3 linked regions of the Drosophila melanogaster genome follow. The protein of the gene in region 3 interacts with the protein of the main gene of each other region in a pairwise test. Each region holds a gene or a part of one and is shown on either strand. Other genes may lie near its edges.

What was found. Proteins that work in one complex are often made in the same cells at the same time.
Region 1: the proteins of pyd (region 3) and Cortactin interact in a two-hybrid assay, tested with the Drosophila melanogaster proteins (one study listed by BioGRID).
Region 2: the proteins of pyd (region 3) and Nedd4 interact in a two-hybrid assay, tested with the Drosophila melanogaster proteins (one study listed by BioGRID).

What each region holds. Positions count from the first base shown.
Region 1 is NT_033777.3:21,060,335-21,066,194, reverse strand, and holds Cortactin (cortactin), read left to right. Parts: upstream 1-1,723; 5' UTR 1,724-1,772; exon of another isoform or gene 1,773-1,831; 5' UTR 1,832-1,900; intron 1,901-2,083; exon of another isoform or gene 2,084-2,086; 5' UTR 2,087-2,130; coding exon 2,131-2,297; intron 2,298-2,365; coding exon 2,366-2,769; intron 2,770-2,860; coding exon 2,861-3,969; 3' UTR 3,970-4,515; downstream 4,516-5,860.
Region 2 is NT_037436.4:17,528,350-17,533,925, forward strand, and holds the start of Nedd4 (Nedd4), read left to right. Parts: upstream 1-1,731; 5' UTR 1,732-2,073; intron 2,074-2,459; 5' UTR 2,460-2,497; coding exon 2,498-2,686; intron 2,687-5,156; exon of another isoform or gene 5,157-5,299; intron 5,300-5,401; exon of another isoform or gene 5,402-5,500; intron 5,501-5,576. Other genes in the region: Edc3 (enhancer of decapping 3), read right to left, coding at 1-271, 560-1,119. UniProt on the Drosophila melanogaster protein: Essential E3 ubiquitin-protein ligase which accepts ubiquitin from an E2 ubiquitin-conjugating enzyme in the form of a thioester and then directly transfers the ubiquitin to targeted substrates.
Region 3 is NT_033777.3:8,860,492-8,866,949, reverse strand, and holds the start of pyd (polychaetoid), read left to right. Parts: upstream 1-2,601; 5' UTR 2,602-2,708; intron 2,709-3,416; exon of another isoform or gene 3,417-3,448; intron 3,449-3,944; exon of another isoform or gene 3,945-3,956; 5' UTR 3,957-4,167; coding exon 4,168-4,887; intron 4,888-4,997; exon of another isoform or gene 4,998-5,070; intron 5,071-6,458.

The sequences.
Region 1 (5,860 bases), about 12 Mb from region 3:
GCACTCAGTGATTCACCAGATTTGTGACGTCAATTTTAAGCTCTGAGCACGACTTTAAAAAAGAGATATTATAATATAGGTGTAAAAACTGGAATAGCTCGTGACCATGTGTGAAAAACTCCATAAACAAAAGCTTTTGCCAACTTCTTTTGGAGACCTCGATGGACTGTACCTCGAAATGTTTCAAAAATGTTTTGCAAATGCACTGAGCAATTCACTTAGTAATAAACCTTGATGACACACCTATTCTACTATAATTGCACGGCCTCGAGTACACTACTACTATATTTTGTGGACGGTGGAATGTGGCCACATCCGATTCCGGTGAGTAATGCTGAGCAAGGCACAGGCGCTCATACACAGTGCTTACTGTAGTTTGAAGTGCCTGTCGGGCAATTGAAGTTGATTGAATTACTAAATTAAGCAGGGCACTGGGGGATAGAGATATTTCGAAAAATTCCGCTTCTCATTCCTACGTAAAATGGGAAAGCAAGAAAGGAACAGAAAAGTTTACTTAGATTTCGTCGGAGATGAGAAAAGTCACACGCGTCGCGAGAGAAAACGCCAAAAGAGTGGGGCTTTTGCTTTTGAGTTTGATGATGTCATCTTTCGGTTTTGAATTTTTCTCCCACCCGAGGCTTTTATTATTGAAATATAAAGTAAATAGAGAAACAAGATTCTGGAGAATTCTCGCGATACCGCACCCACAACTAGAATTCTACAAAATGCCCATTTTGGAATGGCACAAATGAAAATTATCTTTGAGTGTTTAGCACACACTTTCTTTTCTCACTTTTCCGACTGATTTTCCGCTTGATTTTTTGCGATTTCTGGCACAGCGAGAGTAAACAATGAGTTTTATCTACAAATTCCTTTTGATTTACCAATGATATTCGATTTTCAACGTACAAGTCAGACGATGCGAACTGCAAGCGATGTGAATAAATACCATAGCTGTTTGCGCTCCGTCTTTGGCTTTTATACTCGCGCTCTCTCGCTGGAAGTCGATTAGAGATGAACCAACCGGCGATAGGTTGTTGTTGCTAGGAAATATTCGGTGGTAGCGCCTAACTGGAAGCTGGTATCTTCTGCGTCGTCATAGTATACACCGTAGAATCTAAAGTGTTCCGAGATGGATGAATCATCGGCATTGGAAGCTGTTGAGACATTCATGATATTTCCGTTGTGATAATGACGACATTGGGAAAATAAGATCTGATTACGCATTGAATTTCAAAATGTAACCTTTGACTTCAATATTCAGCCGTTAGGGCAATACAGTTAAATAAATATCCTGTTCCTTCCTAAGCCGTTTTATAACTATTTTTATTTGTATTTTTATAACTATATATAAAAACCAATTACGTTAATTGTCAGCCGACATCGAAGCAAATTCAAATCCAAAACTATCGATATATCGATGATATGTTTGCGGTTATATGAAAAAAGTCAACTCTTATACCTGTTAATTACCGTTCTGGCAGAATCTTATTAATTATACAAATTACTATGGCGCCACTTGGTATAACATCAAATACCTTTTGCCCGAGCACTCAGTTCTATTGATCACGATCACATATATTGGTACTGCAGTATATATCGGTGCATTGACTTATCGAATAAAGTAAAAGAACCACGACTGTATCTCTTAATCATTTAAATTGGGCGCCCCTAAAACTGCAGCAACTACCTTTTGTCAAGCTCATCACAATAATTTATCGGCTTTTCGTAGCATATCGATGCATCCATTGTATCGAATGAAATTTAGTTCAGTTAGTTTCCCGTTTGTTGGTCTCTTTATGAATCAATTGTTTAACCCTTCTCCTCCCAGAAATTTGCAGACATCCCTAGCGGCATCAGATCATAAGTTCCTCTTGCAGTAGGAGTTAGTCATCGGGATGTGAGTATACATATGAACATAGAGCGCCAGTGGCATCTTGTTCCCGATCCGGCTTTGTCGGCCCCTCCCTTCTTCGGTGTTTTGTGACTTGTTATCTGGGCCACGAATCGGAAGCGGAGCCCCTGCAACTGAAAACCTGCCCCGACTACTCACACTCGTCATGGTGTTTATCTATCTACCCAGCAGATAAGGATAAGCGAGTAACCAGCGACCAGAAACCGGTAAAAAGAATGTGGAAGGCAAGTGCCGGTCACCAGATTCAGGCCACCAGTGCAGCCTCCGCGGAGGACGACGACTGGGAGACGGATCCGGACTTCGTGAACGATGTCAGTGAGCAGGAGCAGCGCTGGGGATCAAAGACGATCGACGGCAGCGGTCGCACAGCAGGCACCATCGAGTGAGTCATCCGAAATTCTCGAAACACTGGGTATCGGGTTCATTGTTCCCTTTCTTTATTCTTTTTAGCATGGACAAGCTGCGCGAGGAGACGGAGCAGGCCGATCTGGACAAGAAGAAGCAGCTGCTGAAGGATCAGAACGCAGGATACGGATACGGGGGCAAGTTTGGCGTTGAGAAGGACCGCATGGACAAGTCGGCTGTGGGTCATGACTACCAGGGCAAGGTGGGAAAGCACGCCTCGCAGAAGGACTACAGCGATGGTTTTGGGGGAAAGTTCGGAGTGCAAGAGGATCGCAAGGACAAGTCTGCCGTGGGCTGGGACCACGTCGAAAAGGTCGAGAAGCACGCCTCCCAGAAGGATTACGCCACCGGCTTCGGAGGCAAATTTGGAGTGCAGTCCGATCGGGTGGATAAATCCGCCGTGGGCTGGGATCACATCGAGAAGGTGGAGAAGCACGAGTCTCAGAAGGGTAAGTTACCTAACGGAAATGAATTTCTCATTGATTTTTTCTTAGTATGTTCATGTCTGATTATTTTATTTATATCTTCTCCCAACATAAGATTACTCCAAGGGCTTTGGCGGCAAGTTTGGCGTTCAGGAGGACCGAAAGGACAAGTCCGCGGTGGGATGGGACCACAAAGAGGCTCCGCAGAAGCACGCCAGCCAGGTGGACCACAAGGTCAAGCCAGTCATCGAAGGTGCCAAGCCTTCCAATTTGCGTGCCAAGTTCGAGAATCTGGCTAAAAACTCCGAGGAGGAGTCACGTAAGCGGGCCGAGGAACAGAAACGTCTCCGTGAGGCCAAGGACAAGCGGGATCGGGAGGAAGCCGCCAAGAAGACTGTGGCCGAGAACACTCCTCGTACCTCGACGGAAGCACCGCCTCCAAAGGGCAGCAGGGCGGCCATCCAGACAGGTCGGACCGGTGGCATTGGCAATGCTATCAGTGCATTTAACCAGATGCAGTCGCCTGTTTCTGAAACCCCTCCAGCACGAAAGGAACCCATTATCATTCCCAAGGCGCAGCCTGTTAAAATAGAATTAGAAGCAAAGGAGGAGCCAACGGCAAGTACAACATCAGCTGCGGTTGCTCCTACTCCGACAGTGGTCCCCGCTCGAGAGCCGGAAACAGCTCCAGTGGCCAAGGCTGCAGCTCCACCACCAGATGTGGTGCCCCAAATTGAGGTTGAGACCGTGGACACGCCTCCCAGAAGTGAGCCGCAATCACCAGTGTATGTGCCGACGCCTCAACCCGAAGTCCACGCCCAAGTCCAAGTCCAACCTGAGCCGCAACCTCAAGCCGATCCTGAGCCAGTAGTTGAAGAAGAGCCACTGTACCAGAACCAGGCCGAGATTAAGGCTGCCTCGCCCTTGCCACCAACGAATGGAACCGTTTCAGAGGCTGTTGCTCCGAGTGGCACCGCAACCGTTCCCGAGGAGGCAATCTACGCGAACTCAGACAATTTGGCCGACTATCTGGAGGACACCGGAATCCACGCCATTGCCCTGTACGACTACCAGGCGGCGGATGACGACGAGATATCCTTTGATCCAGATGACGTGATCACCCACATCGAGAAGATCGACGATGGGTGGTGGAGGGGATTGTGCAAGAACCGCTACGGACTCTTTCCAGCCAACTACGTGCAGGTGGTGGGACAGAACTCATAAAAGCTTCCAATTGAAATTCACGATAGAACAAAATCAAATTGTATTTACATACTAACGAAAACGATAATACTGATGTTGGATTATAAACCATATAAACCAATTCGCAACTAACCCAGCCCATTTCCCATCCATTGTTTACCCTCTTAACCCTCCAAATTATGTGCAACGAATGGCTAGATATTGAATTATTATTGTAATTTGTTATGCTAGCACTTAAAGTAACCGTGGTATTCCATTTTTGATATATGTATCATTTATTGCATTTTACATTCTTTGTATTTAACACATTTATTTTACCAAGAAAATATGCCAAGCTATTTTAGATATCTCTCATTTCATATTTTATGCATTAGTTATGATATTTGTGTCAAGTAACGATTTTGGTTTTTTTGAATTGTATAAAGTCTACGAGAGTTTCCCGTGTCAGGTGATCTGATCTAATGTTAAAGACGGATCTAATGTTGAAGACAGTCACAAACAAAAAGTCTGCTCTTTTGATAAAGAAATACATAATTAATAAAGTTAAATAATAACGAGTTCTCTCTTAAATTGTGGTACTGATAGTTCGGGTGTTTTTGTTTTTTTTTAAGGCCTAACAAATCATTTTACTAAGTAAAATGATTTCATTGGATACGGGAATTCACAAATTTCTATAAGAAGATAAGAACGAGCATATTGTTGGGTTCCTTCTAATATCACGAGGATATCTCTATTTTGGGGTAGAACTGTCAAGGCCTTTCTTGGATGGGCCGAATTCTTATCTGCCTGTTCCGAACGCATCGTAATCTGGCAAAGTAGAAATTGTTACATGAAACGAGCTACTGACATGATTCATGGTGCAAATGTGAGTGCATATGGGCTCAACAAAGAAAGAGTACTTTGCATTGTGGTGATTAATTAGTTAAAAAACATACATAAGTAGGATGTACGGCCATATTGTAAATTTGAGCGCCAATCCCAAAAAGACTTGATAAGATTTATCGCAATTATTGGCGACGGATCGTAATCGAAAAAAGTGTCAGACGAAATCAAAGTTTTGACTGATAAAGTTGATGTATAAATTAAACTTCAAGGAGGTATTACGATAAAGTGTGCGTGTTGGTAATAACGTAGATATTATTAACTAGTGATTGTAACTCAAAGGGTATGCAACTTAACTATGTATCCCGCATAACATTTCTAACGGTAACCTGCGGTCGATGTACAAACCGGTATTTCAAATGCATGTTCAAATCTTAGGCGGTATTTCTGGGGCCTTCAAAAATCCAAATCTCAGGCCTTATCAAAAAATCTCCCCTCAAAAAAAAGCAGTGGTCTTTCTCCCACGCACACACTCTCTCTCTCTCTCTTTCTGTCTTTCTTTTTCTCACTTGCCGACGCGAGAGAGAGATATTTTGAATAAATAGGGGCTACCGCAAAATGCTATAGTCAGTCACTCGATCGCGTGGGCTCAGAGTTAAAACTTCAGTTTGGCCGATAAGGTTAGTACTCTTGTCGAGTGTTGCCAGATTTCGGCAAGTCAAAGAAGAGAGAGTGGCCGCAGGTTGCCACATTGGGCACAGACGAAAAGACAGTGTGCATGTGAGAGGCGAGTGAGTGTGCGTGCAAAAGAAAGCAGCTGGTGGCAGAATCTCAAATATTGTGAGGAAAATTAATAAACAAAGAGCTGCGCTCACGGCTGAGCACAAATTGCCTGCACGCTCGTCAATTGTCGTTAACTAAGTCAGCAATTGGCAGCCAAACCGTCCGCTTCTTCGTCATTTCTCTGCTTCGTTTACTGCGACCATCACCACTCTTGTTTCGGCCGTACAACGTCACGGAATTCGTAAATTTCGTAAATTGCTCCGCGAGAAAAGCAGGAAAATGCATTTATAAGCTGCCACAAGTGCCG
Region 2 (5,576 bases), on a different chromosome or scaffold from region 3:
CCCATAGCTCGAGGCTGCCGTCTGCTTGTAAAATCCATCTCCGTTGCTGACGATATCTATGGGTTTGCTGCTGCCCAACGACAAACCAGTTGCCTCGCCGCTATCTCCGCTGCTGCTGCAGTAACTCTCCCGGGTGTTGCTCACGTAGGAGCCCAGTTTCACCTCGACCTTCGGCGGTATCATGTTGCCAAAAAAGGCGGCCACGCTGTTGGGAGTCGTTGATATCTGCGGCTGCTGCTGAGCGCTGGACGCACGGGATGTTTGTGGTGTTCTGGATGACGAAACAAATATAAAAGTTAGATGAAACCTATTTTAAATACGACGCTCAGTTGGCACAAGACCTATCTGAAACGACTGTTGCTTTTTATCAGTAATAAAGGTAATTTACTCATTTCGTATCTCAAGGTTGGTAAGTTTAAACATAAAGATGGCTTCAAAATGAAATGAAATAAACACAATCGTGCTGACTGCAAAAATCTTCATACTTTTTTTTTTTATAAAGAGCTAACAATTAATTTAAATTATTGGCATTGCACAATCGTTTAATGGGCCATATTACCTAAGGGTGCCATTTGAGCCGTTGGTCTCGATTAGCTTCAGCTGATGCATCTTATCGCTTAGCGCCGAATTGAAGTTGCCACGTGGGCCCGAAGAACTCGATGCTCCGCCAGCCGCTACCCGTCCATTGTCGTTGGCCCTTGACCGCGGCGTCGATGGCAGATCCTGTTCTCGTTCCTGCTCCTGGAACTGCTGTTTCTGTTGCTGCTGGAGTTGTAGCTGCTGCTGCTGCTGCTGGAGTTGGAGCTGCTGCTGCTTGCCCAGGATGTTGGAGAAGTGGGGCAGCTTGACGGGCGTGGGCTTGTTGACCACTGGCGGCGGCGCCGTGTGCCCATCCAGATCTTGCTTTGCGGGCTCGATGAGATCGATGCTGCGAATGTCCGTGCACTTGAGGACCACCTCGGCGTTCTGCTTTCGCAGCGGCACGCCATTGCGGAAAGCCCTCACAATGGTGATCTCCTCGGCAGAAATCTGCTTGATCAGGCCCTGGAAGACGCCCAGGACCTCGTCGCAGGCTATAGACACTGCACAGCCGATCCAGTCTTGATCCGTCGGACCCATGTAATCAGTTTTCGATACTCCCTTTGCGAATGCGACAACACGTTGGATCGGCTTGTTCTGCCCTGGCTAATGGTTGTTCGAAATGTTTGCTGGCCCGCGCAGAGCTGCTTGTTGTTTTCGTTTCTAATACGCAATTTCGCCACTAACTAACTACGCACCACGCACCTCTCTTCCTCTTCTTCCTGCTGCTGCACCGCCGTTGATTCTAGTGTTTTGTGGCTTAAAGTCGGGTGTTTTTGAATTATTTGGCTCTGCGGTCAAGGGGTTCGGTATTTTGTCTCTTTTAATCAATAAATGCACCAACCGTTGCAACACATTGACGCTAAAACTTATTGGATTTCTCGTTTCATTGGGATTTTCACTGCTTGCGTGTGGCCGTTCGTTGGTGTTCAGATAATACCGAACAATACCCAAACTAGCTGCGTGGCAAATTAGTTTACTTAATAAATTTATAATAATATACATATTTATAATAACTACAAATTTCATGCTTTACGGAAACTTCACCTTATTTTGATAAATATTTGGTTCAATAAAAGCCTGCGAGCCATTTTATGAATTTAACAAGTGCTTCCCTTAACTGTTAAGGCTTCTGGGTGCTGTGGTATGTTCTCAGTGCGCGTACACGGTCACTCTGGCAGTTTTGTTCTCGATTTTGTCGCCGTTTTGTGCATTTTTCCCGTCCGGTGTTTAAATTTTATTTAATACTGCGCGTGCGACATATATACAGGCACCTATAGCCGACCGATATCGGCGATTAAGGCATGTGCGCCGCCGAAGCGGTCAAAGTGATAATCGCTTGAATAGTGAGCAGTGTAGAATTTGCCGTGTGATAGAAGTACGTGATGATTTTCCGCAAATAGTGGATAAAGGCGAGCCCACACGCATACCACCGCAAAATATATACATAAATCGGGCGAAAATATAGTGGCCCGTGTTTGTGCGTGTGTAAACGTAAGTGGAAAACTTGGGCGAAACTTTATGCTAACCATAAATGGTCTACAAAGACATGGCTTCGCGCCTGGCTAATTATCAAGAAAATGTTTGGCTTTTGTGCTCTATCACCCACACCTCATTCACACAACACACACACTAGAAACACGCTTGCACGGGGGCAGGGCGGCAGACAGAGATGGCATCTAGCACAAGTACCGTTGTTCACTTTGTTTGCTGTCTTTGTTGTCTGTTCGCTTTTCTTTCCTTCGCTTCTGTACACCCTTCCCCCTCTTGTTACCTTATGGCAGCCTCCTCTTCTTCTTCTTCGTGTCATTTATCGCTTAATTTGCACTTCCGCTTTGCACATATTCACCCTCTCTCCTTCCGTCATTCTTTCATTGCAGAAGCTTCTCTAAAAGAAACAAACAACAACAACACAACAATGTCGGCACGTTCCAGCGGCTTGGTGGCCGCGGCGGCCCTTCCCGTCCCGTCGTCTTCTTCCTCGGTGGCCGGCGGCGACGTGCCACGCCCGCCGCCCCGCCGGCGAGCGGCCTCTGTTGCGGGACAACAGCAAACGCGCCAGGAATTTGGAAATGGTTACACTCCTCGCAGATCGTTGGCAGCAGTGGTAAGTTTACATAAGTGCAGGTGACGACGAAAAGAGAGAGCTTTACCTTGAAGGACAACTTAGGAACTCTTCTAACATCTTAGGAATTTTGTAGGAGCACCTTATGGTTACAACCTTATTTCACAACGCATCCAACTCTGATTGAAAAATTTCATTCCATTTTTGATAAAGCCAGTTAACTAATTATGGGTTATATAAACGCGTATGTATCAAATTAAGTTATCATAACACCAAATAGTGACCGTGGCACCTATATGTTTATCAATTTTTAATAGATAGTAAGGTATTACTTACTATGACATCTTATAAGATACTCTTATCAATTGTTTTGGTTTCGTTGCAAACTGACTAATCAATAAATGTATCTCATTTTAAAGGGCATACCGAAATGTTGTCTTATCAAAACTAAGCCAACCAATTCCTATAACCTTTTATAAGGAATTGCCCACAATGTATCCACCATTTTGTTGGTGTGAAGATTTGAAAAGTATTTATCAACGGGTGGTGCTGGGGGATTTGGTCGCCCTTATCAGTGCCTCCGCTGTATTTAGTGTTTCCATTTTTACGATGTTTTCACTACTAATCTAATCTGCAGATTGCCAAACAGCTGAGTCGTGTAGATGGGCCATGTAGATTTCACTCCCCTCATGGATGATAAAGTGGGATATATGTATGGTGGGAAAAGTAGGGGATCTACAATTCCTTCAGAAGCCGAAAAGCACGAAAAACTTACGAACTGTTCTTATCCAATACCTAGCTTTTACGGTGTAAAGGTCGTTGCATTTCGTCAACCATTAAGTTAGATGTAGTTGTATTTCAGGAGTGACTTCCATAAGTCTTTTTTTAGGAGGGCCTTTAATACAGCACATTACATTTTATCGTTTAGTCATTGTTTGCTTGTACCAATTACTTTATAATGTTAAAGAAAAAGTAGCTTTTTTGCGGATTTTTTAAAATCGAATAACATTTCTTGACTTGCACTTTCCGAAGAGCAGAAAAGTGCCAAGAAAAGTATTAGGAAGCCGCCAGAAAATAAACTGGCATCATCGTTGTTTACTTAGTGTCTGGAATGGGCTTTTCTATTGTTTTGCTCACTTGTATAAACAAATAATTCGCTCGCCATCTCAGGCCGAACGGAAACTAAACTAATTTATTTATCTTAATTTGCCAAAGATGCTAGCCACTTGAGCAGTCATCGGCATCTTCGAAGCTAATTTAATTTATCAACACAATTCTTGGCCGCCGCCTCTTGAATGTTGTGTGTCTACACTTTATGGTTTTCTGGCTGCACAGAGAGAAAAATATTGTTTTAACTTTTAATACCTAGGCTATGTTTAATGGTTTATAAAAGTATTTTAATTTCTAACAGAACTCGCAGAATTATATTATTCATAGTTTCTAAACGTATTATGAACTGACATTTTGTTTTGTGTTTCTTTTACTTTCTTTTTTAGTATCCCAGTGTTGGTTGTTTGCTCTGTTTGCTTTCACTCAATGAGCGATTATTTGACGGCACTTCAATTCTGTTTGTCGAACTCATTGAAGCGTTGTCAGAATGGCTCGAAATTCCTGTCCAAAAAGTGGGAGGTGTATGAATGAATGGCTTATCTTCATTAGTGCTTTTTTTGCCGCAAAAGTTGTATGCCCCCGCTAATTGAGCTCTGTTATTTGGGTTATTTAATCCAATTTGCACGTCAGCCGGCAAGCGGTGACGTCGGCCAATCGACGCACTTGTAAGAACAGTCGACGTCACAATTGCCTTAGCGGATAGCCTTAATGGGCCGCTTATCAGTCAACAGCTGGTCAATTACATCCATTGAATCCATTGCGTCAGCAGTCAGAACATTCTCATGTCTATTATAAGTGATTATACGCTATTTAGCTGAACATTATTAATGGAATTGGAGGGATTCCCAGCCCAAAATACAAATTTCACACAGATACGCACGCACACATAGATAGTCCACTCACATCAACGCACGGCGCAGCCGATCAGCTGTTTTTGTTTTGTTTTGCTTAAAGACACTTGTTCGATGGCAGCTGTCAACAGTGGGAGTGAGAAAACGCGAGAGGAAGACAAAAAGAGTACAGGGCTAAGCTGTCATTTTAAAAAGCTTTCAGCCAACAGCTTGTAGCTGGGGCTTCAGTGTTGAAAAATGTGTTCAGTACTGTTTTGGTATTTTTTTTTTAAGATTAAAAACTTTCCTTTTTATGGTTAATTGGAGCACTTTTTGTGACAATTCATTAAAATATCTATGCATGAGTATTGCAAGTCCACTTCGTATTTTGCTTTTTAATATATTAATATTAGAATTTTTCCCGGAGAAGCCGACCATGAGGTAAATAATTTACTCCGTTCCATCGGTCACACTAGACCCAATGAAAGCTCCGCAATGGGGCAACCTCTTGGCCCGAACGCGCTGGCCACACTTTTCAGTGGAGCTGCCTTCATTTTAGCTTAGAACGCGAAAGCGCCAAGTTCCGTGTTTTGCGCTGCGGCTGCCGACAAGTGTTGCTGTTGCTGTTGCGCTCGCACCCACGACCGCACACACACTCGCTGCGGGAGCGAGCGAGAGAGGCAGACATTTACGCAGAACATGTTTTCGCAATAGTGTTGGTGTGCCGTTTGTTATTGTTGTTATTGTTTCCATCGTTTAGGGCCGTTAATAAAAGATAAATAAGTGAATAATTGAATTATAAATATTGTAGAGTGTACCGCCACACACACACAAATCGCTGGATTATATAGATAAATTTATTGCACAGTACCCCTGAAATGTGTTAATTATATAAAAAAAAAAGCAGTAAATAAGCGTACGTACCGTAAAGCAACAGTTCTCGCTCGGCACAATCGAGAAATCTCGAAATCACATCAAATGCAGAAGCATTT
Region 3 (6,458 bases):
TTTCCATAAACACAGGCGCCTCATATGCTAATTTTCCTTTGCGCAATCAAAAATTATACATCATTTTATACTACGCGCCTATCCATCCGGCTGTTTTCCCCCATTTCTCTCGTTTGTCATTAATCACGTTTAATATGCAATTCTATGCTGTAAAGAGGAAAATAATTGCAACAATAAAATAAATATAAACAACAGCGGGAGTGGCAACCCAAATCCGTTGTAATCTTCATATCCGGAGTGTCGTTGTCTGTGAATTCTGCAATTGGACTCTCCAGTTACACATTTTCCCCTCGGGGATCACTTTTTGCATCATCATTATGGATGGATGGAGCCTCTTTATAGAGAGTTTCTGTATAATGTGGAGTTCGTTTTTTAGTGGGGGGTTGGTTTGGTATATAGGAAGTGCGGGTTAAACGGGAGTCTGCCACTCAGTCACTTCCTTGTTTGACATTTTAATTGCAATGTTGATGGATTTCACTGTTGACACTTTCCTTTTTCACCCCATTAATGAATAATGAACGTTTAGTCTGCAAATTTACTAGCTAGCCAGGCCGCAAAGTTAAATTTGCCTTTCGTGCATACATACAGATATAGTAAATTAACAATAAGATTCCTAAAAGAACATTTTACTTAACAATTATGAAATACTTTCGGTTAAATGCCCTTTTAGCTTTCCCACTGATTTCTTTTGTGTTTCGGACCGTAGTAAATTGTCTGTAAAAAGTCGTGGCCAAGTTAAGTATCATAACTAGAACGTCTTCCGTTCAACACCTCATTAGGCGAACTTTTCAACAGAGGCCGAAAACGACTTTTAATTGTGCCCACTGGACATACACAACCCCTGAAATTTTTTTCTGGCGGGAAGCACAATTGTCCAGAGGGTGAACATGATAAATGCCTTAAATAATGTTCTTTTGCCACCAGAAAATATCCAAGACATGACCAAACTCTAGTGGAGCAATTAAGTGCCAGACCAACTGAAAATGTCATTTAACATTTGTCAGGTAAAAATAAAAGTAAAGCACTCAAATAAAAAACAGCAACAAGTTGCAGACTAATTAAATAATTGAAACATTTTACGTGGGAGTCGCAAAGACACAATGACAAAGAACTAAATGTGTGTGCAAACGAAAAGCCAAACAAATAAAGACATAAGAAAAACGATTCTACAATGTCGCAATTCGACTATGCCTGCTATACGGTGCCCGAGTGTTCCACGGATGATGATGATGATAATGACGATGAGCTGGGCAGTAATGTGACCCTGGAGAACAAGGATCATTCGGATTGCACCCTGGAATCGGATGCTACGACCACCACATCTTCACTGGAGCGTCATATGTATAGGAATCGGTATCGCTCTAATAGAAGTTTCGGACCACAGAGGGTTTCCATGCCCATTCTCAGATCCAGTCGATCCAGGGAGATGACGCCCCAGTTGGGCATGTATCATGAGGGACCGAATCGAGATCCCCAATGGGGTTACTTTGTACCCCTGTCGCCCAACTTCTTCTTTAGTCCACCGATGCAGAGGAGGCGTTATAGGTAGATTTACATTGTGTTTAGTACTTAAAACATATTTAGTTCTATTATTATCAAGTAAAACATACATTGAAAATTCTAATAAATTAAATTTAAATTTCCTTTCAGGGAAAAGGAAAACGATCGCAATCGTCGCGCTGTTAGTTATGGCGGTGACGCCACCTCCTCCCCCCATTCGGCCACCATACCCCGCGCCGCCCCCCGTCGGGTGGCCTTGATGAAGGATCCACCGCCACCGCCGCCACCCAAGCCGCAATTGGGTTCCAAAGCGGATTCTGTATCGCATTTGGCCAGCAAATATCCCCAATCCGAGTACAATCTCATACAGAAAATCGACTCGAACAGCACACTCACTGCTCCGGCGCAATATCAACCGCAGAATTTCTACGCTAATACTGGCACCATATCCTCTACGAATGGCTACGGATCGCTGTTATGTCACGCCAGTTCGACGACCAGTCCGCTGGCGGTCCGGAAGAGGGACAAACTGCTTCATCGCTTCAGCGATGCCGCCACCTTGGGCCGGAAGCTCAAGAAGAAGAAGAACACGAATCGCACCTGCAGATCCATGACGGAGGCCATTGAGATGCTGGCCGATCCCGTCATCGAAGATGAATTCTTTGTAAGTACAATGATTTATGCAAAGAAAATATACGTATTTCCATGGAATTAGAAACATAAAAATCTTTTGGAGCCTCTTAAAACAAAATAGAGTTTCTCAAACCATTTTTTGTCATAACATCATAGAACTTGATTGATATGTATTAAATATTTGGGTGTGGTTTTAAAATAGCTCGAGGTTCATCGTTCAAACCTTTTCATTCTTGGTTTTTTCCCCCAAACATCTGCCCCATTTCACAATTTACGCTTTTAAGGGGTGTATTTGTTTGGCTTAAGCCCCTCATTTCGTCTCATTTCACTTGGGCTCTGCTCAGCTCAGTCCAAGCTTTATCGCAATCACTTTTGTTCTTGTATTCTTCTCCGGCTGGAAACGCTATCCATTGGAAAATGTTCTCGTGTCCGATAGGCTCTTCAAATTCATTGAATTCATTTCAGTTTAGTTCGTATTTGAGCCTCGTCGCGATTGAAACGAAAAGAAATCCACACCAAAAATAAACGATTTTCGTAGGCGGAAGTGTTAGAAAGACAAACCTCAAACAGATAAGGTGGAAATAATAGGAAGTTGACAGATTGAAACTGAGAAGGGCCATTGAATTAAGTGGAGTGACAGAAGTGATAAAAGAAAGGGAAAATTTGAATATATTAAACAAGAAAAATGTGCACTTAGACAGAGGGATTTATATTTGGCCACATCTTTTCCACTTAGTTTTTAACTATAAATTTGGATATTATATTTATGATCCCTGTAAGATAACCTTGAAAGTATTTTCCGACGGCTGAACTCAATTCGCAATCATTAAGTGAAAAAGGGGCGTCAATAATACTATCAAAAGTTCAATAGACCGCACATTCATTGACCCAATCGGGGTACCTTTGAGTTTTTGCAATGTTTTGAGCTTGTAAATTGGTATTGGGGTCGATCAGGGCTAAGCCACAATTATTTGCCAAATCAGTCTTTAATTAACGAACTCAGAGTTGACAGATTAGCATGGCTCTCTTTCTCTCTATTCTCCATTCTGTCTCATCCATATGACAGCTCGGTTGACAGTTCAGGAAGACGAATGTGTCTAACAAAACAAGTGACTCGCAAACTGTGTCAATACTTTGGGTTCGAAAAACAATTTACCTTGCGCAAAGACGACGGCTCGAAAGGTGAACCCCGGCTAATTGGATTGGCAGTGCGTGCCTTCCAGCAAACAACAGAAAAGCAGAAAAAGTTGTTGCAATAAAATCAAACAATTGCAGTGGAAAATCGAACGTGCAGTGTGCCGAACGTGTTGGTCGCGTAAAACCCTTAAAAAATCGGTTATTTTCAATATAGTTTATAGGGTTTATCTCTTTTTTATTGGCCTCTCTCAGGCGTTTTTAAAAACACAAATGTTGCCTGCTTTTGTGCGCTGTTAAACAAGAACGCCATGAAAAATAATTCAACCATATCTATAGCATACTTTTACGCGGTCGAAAATTACATTTGAAAAAGAACAAAAAGTCTCTAAATTAACTCAACACCCTTGAAACACTAATCTGGTTTTATTTTTTTTTTTTTTATATATTTCCAAAGGAAAAAAATATAATTTTGCGTGATCTAATTTTACATGTAATCATAAAACATTCTATCGTCAGTCTAAAGACAGTGTAGATTTTATGTAAAATTAGCCAAGTGAACCTTAAAATTTTTGTTGTTTTTGTTGATTTATTTTATGGTTTTAGTTTGCAACAAATTGAATTTTTTAAAGAACAAAACATAAGTTTCTCACAAAAAAAAAATAATACTTTGGTTTCGACCGTGACAGGACTCGAACCTGCAATCTTCGGATCCGAAGTCCGACGCCTTATCCATTAGGCCACACGGTCGCTTGTTCCAAGCACGCTTAAACTCGAAAACATTTGATACGTGTGCAAGCAACCTACAGCACAAGGGTGGATTTTCTGTAGAGCAAACATTCTGTTATCGCGGGGTGCAAATACAAACGAACAAAAACGAAAATTAAATACAACAAAAATATGAAGCCCAGCACGCGACGTCGCAGTTTCAAAACGAAACCCCCCAAATCGAATGTATATAACCCACTCGTTCGCTATCGCCCGACAGCCTATGTCCGAAATGGAATTATTGGCGGCGCCGAGGGTCCCGGCTCGAGTGGAGTGTACCAAATCGCGGATAGGGTCTATACCACCAGCAAGATGTTTCTACGCGATGGCTATATGTACCCGCGTCAACCGGGTCAGACCATGGATCCCCGTTTCCCCCTCGAGTTGCACGAATTCCCTCAGCAATTCGGCGCCACTGGCCTGCAGTTGGTTAGTGCACCCAAGGTTCATATAGCCGGCGAATATCTGGCCAGTGAACAACAGCAGCAGCAGCAACAACAGCAGCAGCAGCATCAACAGGTGCAGGAGCAACAACAATTGGGCAGAAGAAAGGCTGCGGCAGCCGCCGAAATAAATTTGGCAAATCAGGTTTACTGGCTGGGCAAGCAAAAGACCAGATCCCGATCGCGTAGCAATAGTGTGGGCAATCGGAGCATAACCAGCTGCATGGGCGGCGGTGGAGGGGGTGGCGAAAAGGAAAGGGAACGCGGCGGGGATCGAGATCGCCCCTATATACGCAACGTTGACGATCTTCTCCAGGCACTGGGCAAAAGGGATGGGGGGGATAACAACAGCAATCTGCTCGAAACTGCATCGACGCACTCCTCATCGCAGCGAAGGCGCTTCAAGAAGGTGAGATACAGACTTACAAAGTGTGATAAATGCAACCAAATGCCCTCAAATCTCATTTTCATAAAATAAATAAAAAAAATTCTGGATACAAAAGAAAAAAGTTAATTTTACGACCGTGACAGGACTCGAACCTGCAATCTTCGGATCCGAAGTCCGACGCCTTATCCATTAGGCCACACGGTCAGTTGGCAACTCTGAAAAATATGACTAACATAAAGACGGGCTTTACAAATAATTTAGTTCACCGTTAACAGTTGCTAAATCGTTTTTTATCCGAATACCTCATTTGAGATTATAAATCTAGAACTCTACGTTAAAAACAGTAAATATAAAAATCTTTATGACAGGACTTAAAGTTGGTTATTTTACCCCTCAGATAGAATATATATATTTAAGGGAAATTCCTTGATTTCCTAATATTAAAATTCTTTACGCCATTGAATACCACCACCTCAGCCATCAATCACCGCATTGCATTGCTCTTGGGCAACATCGAAATTTGTCAACTCGCGTTGCAACACTTTCAATTGTCGCTGTGGCACCTTTTTTTTCCATTTGGCCACCTTAATTACATTCGTGGATGTATGTATGGAGGTAGTGTGGCTCGTTCCGCCAGGTCATCATCAGTCATCACTCGTGGCTTGTCTGCAGTGTCCAGAATGGAGGCAGTGAAGCCTACCGCCCCTGGGGTGCGTCTGCGCAAAAATTAAAATTAATGATGTTCAAAATTTCGCTTGGGGCCATTAATGGAAATGGGATGAAGAAATAAACGAGGTGAGAGATTGGCAAAGGCGAAATGGAGATGAAAGGAAGGGGAGAGCTGGTGGTCAGACGGTAGCTGCTAATTTGGCATCCTCGAACACACCTGCCCCCAAAATGATATTCACTGCGGCCTTTCAATTTCTCAAAAAGTTTCAAAGTCAAAGCTCGGCTGCGGTTCCTTTTACCTCTTTCATTTCAGGCCCTTTTTCTTTTGCTGACCATTTTATGCATTTTTAGCCGCTGCTGCTCAGGCTTCCATGACGATATAGACTTTTTTTGTCGGTTTGATTTTATTCTTTTGTTTTTCTGTTTCGTTTACGCTATCGTCATTAGTGGATATATATATATGTATATAGTTTTTGTTTTAGCTTAATTCCACATTCGCCTGGGGCACAATTTATGCGCTTCTGTTTCGAATCCAGATTCGGGCTCTGAGGAGCACTTGAGTTTGAGAAATTGGTTTCGTTGATTGTGCCTTTAAACATGGTCAAAACGGTGGGCGAATGTTATTAAGAAGAGTACTTACAAAATAGTTGAAAAGCTAACAAAAAAATCATAAAATATTTTATAATTTTATGTAGATAGAAAATTGAATACAAAATTTAAGTAATTTTTGGTTCATAAACAATTTTCAATCCACACAAACCCAATGTACTTCGCCTCCGCCCATGACTCAACTTCCGACGTGTGTATAAATCCATTTAGAACTCGGATGAAAAAAAATAAATTGCTGTTGGAAACCCAAGCGAAATGAACATAAATTTATCTCTTTAAATTCTTGCTTTAGACTCGGGTCGAATGGGTTAAGA